2 linked regions of the Coturnix japonica genome follow. The protein of the gene in region 1 interacts with the protein of each later gene in a pairwise test. Links are inferred from orthologs where the notes say so. Each region holds a gene or a part of one and is shown in the gene's direction. Other genes may lie near its edges.

Region 1 (2,630 bases):
TGTCCCACTTGTTCAGCCAGGTAAGGGCTGCCTGCCCTGCGTTCTGCCTGCGCCTGTCCCCACAGCATCCCAGCCTGGCTGTGCCCTACCCCCAAGTGCTGGGTGCTGTGGTGCTGGGGATGGGCTTGGCAAAGCCCTGCCTGAATCCCTCCTGCCTGATGTGGGGCTCAGCCCTACCCGGTGCTGGGTGAGACTCATGCCTTCATCCTTCTGCTCTGCTGTCAGCGGGCAAGGCATGGGCACCTGGTGGCCCTGGCCCTGATTTCTGTCTCCTGCCGCTGCAGGAGGAGCTGGTGAACAACACGGAGCTGGTGCAGAGTTACAGGCAGCAGATTGGCAGCGTGGTGAACCAGTTCAACCTCCAGCTCTTCCTCAACATGTACAACAGGTGAGCAGCACCCAGCAGCACTGCCATCTTCAGCTGGGAGTGAAGGGAGGGGAGCAGTGTGCTGGGGGATCACAGTGTGCTGGGACACCAGGGCTCCACAGGGCCGTTCTCTGGGCACACCCCAGCTCTGTGCCTGCCTCCATGCTCACACTGGTTCTCTCTCCTCCTGCAGCCGCAGGGATCTCGACATCAACCGGCCCGGCACTGTGCCCAACGCCAAGACACTGCGGTAAGAGCTGCACAGGCACCGCCCAGGGCAAGGAGCCCAGCCCGAGCCCTGACTGTGCCCGTTCCTTCTCTCATTTCCAGCTGCCCTGTGATGTTGGTGGTGGGAGACAACGCTCCCGCTGAAGAGGGTGTGGTGAGTGATTGTAGGCATCCATGCTTGCAGGCACATGGGCACATGTGGTTGCCTGGGGTGGGATGTGCCAGTGCTGGGACCAAAGGTGGTACCTGTGGGCAGCTTCTGCCAGACGTGGGACACCCCATGGTGCTAGTTCTTGTCCCTCTCACCCACAGGTGGAGTGTAATTCCAAGCTGGATCCCACAAACACCACTTTTCTGAAGGTAAGTGGGTGATGGGGGGAGCAGTGCGGCCCTCACTGCCCTGCAGCAATAGGCTGTCCTTGTCTCCCAGCCCGAGGTCCATATGGGACTGGAGTGAGCAGGGTGACCTGGCAGTAGGATCCTGCCAGTGGGCACCAGGGTTTGGGGTGGGGGAAAAGGCGTCCCTCGAACTAACCGGGACCTTCTCTGTGCAGATGGCAGATTCTGGTGGGCTGCCCCAGGTGACACAGGTGAGTGTCCTCCATCAGCCCCTGAGACATGGCCTGGTGCGGCCCCTGTCCATAAAGGGATGGGCTGATGTGGGCACAGGAGTCCCACGGGGGTCCTGGTGCTGGTGTGGGGCTGTGCAGCTCCTTCTCTCTCTCCCTGCAGCCCGGCAAGCTGACCGAAGCCTTCAAGTACTTCCTGCAAGGCATGGGCTACAGTGAGTGCCAGGGCTGGGCATGGGGCTGCCTGGGTGTGCGTGTGTGTGTGTGTGTGTGCGTGTGTGTGTGTGTGTGTGCGTGTGTGTGTGTGTGTGTGTGTGCCACAGAGCAGCCTGGCACATGCGTGTGCCCATCCTGAAGGAGGGCTGTAAATGTGTCCCTAGTGCTGTGTGTGTACAAGGTGCCCATCCATGTGTTTGGGGTGTGGGGTGAACAGGCTGTGTGTGTAAGAGGACTGTGTGTGTGTGTGTGTGTGTGTGTGCGGGTCCGTGTGCACCCACACAGATGTGTGCACGCACATGGGTCAGGAGGAGCCCTGTGTCCCTGTGCAGCCCCCGCTGCAGCTGATGTTCTCTCTCTGCCCTCCTCCTCCTCCTGCTCCCGCCAGTCGCCCACCTGAAGGATCGGAGGCTGAGTGGAGGTGCAGGTACCGCTGCATGGTGCCCTCCTGGCGCTGAGCCCTGCCACTGCTGGGTGCCTTTGGGAGCAGCCTGGGCATGGGGCTGCCCTTCCCCAGCGGTGCCTTCTGCCCTGCTCTGCTTTGCCCAAAGCGTTGGGCTGCCCCCACCCTGAGCCAGGGCTGCGGGCTGAGCATTGGCGTTCAGACAAGTGTCCCCATGCAGGCAGCATGCCCACCGCGTGCTCTTCCACACAACAGGAGCTGTGCCCGCGGTGCATTATGCTGGAGGAAGGTCCACCTTCACCCTGGGGAGCAGGGAACGCTCCCATCCCCACTCACACCCCCTGGAGCACGGTGGCTGGGGCTTCCCACTGCCTCACTGCCCAGGGGATTGGCTGGGGCACCGCATCCTCTGCCAGCACGGAGCTGCTCGTGTTGTGGCACTGCATGCTGCAAGCTTGTGCCTGGGGCCATCTGCCTTGGGGAGTGGGGCCAGCTCCAGGCCAGCAGCTTTGCTTGCATTAGGCAGTGTCGGCCCAGCCCCTCCTGGCCGAGCACCCAGCCCCCCTCTCTGTGCCCTTGCAGTGCCGTCCGCCAGCATGACCCGCCTGGCACGCTCCCGTACAGCCTCGCTCACCAGCGCCAGTTCGGTGGAAGGTGCCCGACCACGTGCCTGTACCCACTCGGAGAGCAGCGAGGCCATGGGGCAGATCAACCACACCATGGAGGTATCGTGCTGAGGCCCACGGCTGCCACCACCGTTTCCTCCAGAGCCATTTCCCATCCGTCAGCATCCCGCCAGCACCCACCCGCCCCGCGGACGACCTCTGCCAGTGCTCTCGCTCCCCTG
Region 2 (3,749 bases), on another chromosome or scaffold:
TTGTTCTGGACAAGGGATTGGGATGGATCAGTGCATCCTGCTGCCTCATCACTGCTGGCATTAGTCCTGCTTATGCTCAGGGCAGGTGATTGAGGACATTGGGATTAGATGGGAGAGCAGCACCATCTCACCATGTACCACTGCTTGGGGAACCAAGGGTCTGTGGGCACCACGTTGATGCTCCTCTTGGCTCTGATCTTCACTGTTTGCTGCTCAAACCAAAGAACCTGGGTGGGAAGCAGCGTTGTTGGCACTATGTGTGTTCCCATAAGGGTGCCCTGGTCTAATGTGCAGCCCAGCCCCTACCTGTGGTTCCCTGCTCAGCCTCAGGCTCCAGCCCCAGTGCCTGCTCAGGGATGTCTGCCTGGAGCCACGGTGTTGGAAGTGATAGTAGGGCTCTCCATCCAGCACCTGCAGTGAGGGCTGAGCTCAGGGGGCTGCATGGAGATGGGCAGAAAGAAATGGGGGGGGGGGGATGCCAGTTCAAAGTCTGCTGGGCTGCAGGGTGGGAAGGATGCTTTGGGATCATGGAGTGACTGTAGGGGCTGGGAGGGACTTCTAGAGGTCATTGAGTGCATTCCCCTGCCAAAGCAGGCTCCCTGCACCACGATGGTGCTGGAAAAGGGGCTGCTCTGCACCATGCACGGGCTCCCTCTCCTACCTATGCTTGTAGCAGGTAGCTGTGCAGCCCTATAGGACCCCATATACCCCATACACAGCCCTACAGCGGGTCGGACCTCACCTGCCCCACGCAGATCAGCCCGTACCGCTGTGCCAACAGCCCCGCATCCCTCTGCCCCTCCGCGACCAACACAGCCCAGCTGCTCAGATAAACGCTGCTCGGAGCGTCGTGCGGACCCGCTGTGAGCCCCAAACCCACCCCCAGCCCCACACCCAATAACACCCCCAGCCCCCACGCCCCCCCTATGCCGTGCGGTGTCGCCATGCCCTGCGCTCTGCGTGCGTTACCATAGAGCTGGAGACGCCACCTGCCCGTCCCTCCCCGCTCCGCCCCGCACAGAACCGGGACCGCATAGGGCCGAGCGGGGCCCGCAGCCATGGGGACCGTCCAGCAGCGCCTGCAGCGCTTCCTCGACCGACCCGGACCGATCTCCGACCTCTTGGGCCGCCTGGAAGCCCGGACCGGTGTCCGCCGGTTTTACCTGGCTACAGGTGAGCCCGCAGCCCCACCGCGTGGACCCCTTCCCCTTCAGCCCCCTTCCCCTATTCCGGGTCCACCCCAGCCCCCTCCCCTTATTCCGGGTCCCCTTCAGCCCCCTCCCCCTATTCCGGGTCCCCCCCCAGCCCCGTGCTGCGCTGACAGCCCCACACTGCCCACCCTGGGGAAGGGAGGAAGCTGCCCAGGGGAGCCGTTGGTTATTTAGGGGAGGGGGTGTCTTCCTCTTCCCCCCCTTCGATCCCAGCCCCACATGGTGGGCTTCACAGAGCCCTGCCCTGCCCAGTGTTGCTCCCCACATCCCCCTGCCCTATGGAAGCCTGGCTGTAGCATGGAACCAAGCCCCCAACCCCCAGCAGGAGGGCAGAGGTCTGTTCGTTAACCAGCTGCTGTTTGTTCATTAACGAGAAACAAGTGATATCTCCCCACGGAGCCGATCCCGGCACCGTTTGACCCCCTCGGTGAGGCTGTCACCTCAACCTTGGCCATTTCTGTGCCTTGGCTGCGTTTATGACTTGCCATCTGCCTCCACGTTGCCATATGGAACCTCCTTATGGGGGGGGGGGGGGTCTGGGTTTCCCTGCTGTGCCCCCAGCCTGATTCCTGGCCCCACGGCTCCTATAGAGCTTTGGTTGCTCTGCTGGGATCTGACACGTGTTTGGAGCGCTGGTTCTGGGGCTCTGGTTGCACTTTGGGCTGTGGGTGACAGGGATAGAGCAGAGTTGTTGTTCCTGCAGCTCAGCTCCGATGTCTGGAAAGGAGAAGCTGATGCTCAACAACAAATATCGGGTTTCTTCCTCCCTTCCCCCCCACCCTGCAGCAATCCCTCAGCCCAGAAGGGGCTGCTCGGTATCTTATAAAGCAGCCACAGACCCAACAGCTGCCTCTGTAAAGGGTAAAGGGCACCAAGGAGGAGGACAGCATCCCCTCTGTGCCACATCTGCTTGTGGATGGGGATAAACCTTTGCCAAGCTCTCCATTCAGTGCTGCAGAGATGAGGCTTCACTGACCTCCTGTCCTGTATGGGAGGCAGAGATGGGGCTCTGGGTGTGGGAGCCTTGGAGCAGCTCCTCCACCAGCCTGATCAGGACCCATAGGACACAGAATCCCTTCCTCCTCCTCCTGTGTTCACATTGTGGGTTTAGGACCCCGGGATGTGTCTCCTTCCTGCCCTCCTTCACACAAGGCTCCTCTGTGTTCAAAGCTGAGCCTCTCCTTTGTGTTTTGCTCTTACATAAATTTCTCCGGGGCTAAACTTAGCCTGTGCAATCCATTCTAAGGCTCTTTAGGGAATGAAACCCGGAGCTGCCTGAACCTGCCTGCTTATTTCCCTTGGAGGGGGAAGCTGTAACTGCTCCCACCAGCTGGGAACAGCGCCCAGCTCCCTTTGCAAAGCCCAGAGGTGCCCATATGAGCACAGAGCATGGAGCAGATCTGCTGCTGTGAGCAGCACAGGGATGAGCCCTGTGTCCTCTGTGCCCCTTCCCTCTGATTCACTGCCACAGACAGGCTAAGTCCCAGCTCTCTTGCCCTGCTGTAGGATAAGGTGCTTAAGCTGCTGCTAAGCAGGAGCTGAGACACCATTGGGGTGGCTGAACTCTTGGCTCTATCCTGCAGGCTCCTTGGCTTTCGTGGGGCTGTACCTGGTGTTTGGCTACGGTGCCTCATTGGTCTGCAACCTCATTGGCTTTGCCTACCCTGCATATGTCTCGTAAGTACTGACCCTACAGCTCTGGATGGTCACTCCTGAAACACTGGGGAGTTGTTATGGGGCTCATTGCCAGGCCTGGAGATATGGGAACAAACCAGTAATTGATGTCCTCCATCCCATAGCATCAAAGCCATCGAGAGCTCCAGCAAGGAGGATGACACCACGTGGCTCACATACTGGGTGGTGTACGGTGTCTTCAGCATAGCCGAGTTCTTCTCTGACATTTTCCTCTACTGGTTCCCCTTTTATTATGCTGGGAAGGTAACGACTTCATGGGGGCACAGGGGAGACCCCCCCTTTGATGGCTGAGCTCTTGTGGTTCATGTATTGAGCTCTGGGGCTTCCTCTGGGCACCTTTGGCAGTACTGGGATGCCCATACAATCCAGCTCTGCAGCATCTCTTCCCCTATAGTGCCTGTTCCTGGTGTGGTGCATGGCCCCAGTGTCCTGGAATGGCTCCCAAGTGCTTTATCACAGCATCATCCGACCCTGCTTCCTCAAACACCACCGTGCTGTGGACTCGGTGCTCAGCGACCTCAGCACCAAAGCACTGGATGCAGCCTCTGCCATCACTAGAGAAGGTAACGTGGGTCCAACCCTCATCATGGGGCAGCTCTCAGTGCCCCACACCCCTCCTGTATCCCACCCCATATCCCCACAGTGATGGCAGCCCGGCCCTTCTCTTTATCTTTCTTCTTCCTACGCCTCCTGGAGCAGTTCTACACACTCTGCTCAGCAGCAGAGCCCGGCTGGCTGCCCAAGTCACCCCGCAGCTCAGCGTGTCTGTATGTAACAGCCATATCCCATAGCCCAGGTCCTGCTCCTATAAGCCCCGGTCCTATAAGCCCCTCTCCTATAACC

The links. The genes of interacting proteins can lie anywhere in the genome.
Region 2: the proteins of NDRG4 (region 1) and REEP6 interact in binary tests that used the Homo sapiens proteins (3 or more experiments, as listed by UniProt). The two-hybrid records come from large-scale screens. The link is inferred for Coturnix japonica from reciprocal best matches to the Homo sapiens genes NDRG4 and REEP6.

The regions. Positions count from the first base shown.
Region 1 is NC_029526.1:2,093,091-2,095,720, forward strand, and holds part of NDRG4 (protein NDRG4), read left to right. Parts: coding exon 1-20; intron 21-284; coding exon 285-388; intron 389-560; coding exon 561-617; intron 618-697; coding exon 698-749; intron 750-907; coding exon 908-955; intron 956-1,149; coding exon 1,150-1,185; intron 1,186-1,327; coding exon 1,328-1,379; intron 1,380-1,768; coding exon 1,769-1,807; intron 1,808-2,365; coding exon 2,366-2,520; 3' UTR 2,521-2,630. UniProt on the Homo sapiens protein: Contributes to the maintenance of intracerebral BDNF levels within the normal range, which is necessary for the preservation of spatial learning and the resistance to neuronal cell death caused by ischemic stress.
Region 2 is NC_029543.1:2,273,180-2,276,928, reverse strand, and holds REEP6 (receptor expression-enhancing protein 6), read left to right. Parts: upstream 1-1,058; coding exon 1,059-1,173; intron 1,174-2,794; coding exon 2,795-2,888; intron 2,889-3,010; coding exon 3,011-3,149; intron 3,150-3,300; coding exon 3,301-3,469; intron 3,470-3,605; coding exon 3,606-3,697; 3' UTR 3,698-3,712; downstream 3,713-3,749. Other genes in the region: PCSK4 (proprotein convertase subtilisin/kexin type 4), read right to left, coding at 1-5, 132-227, 307-411, 743-1,060. UniProt on the Homo sapiens protein: Required for correct function and survival of retinal photoreceptors. Required for retinal development.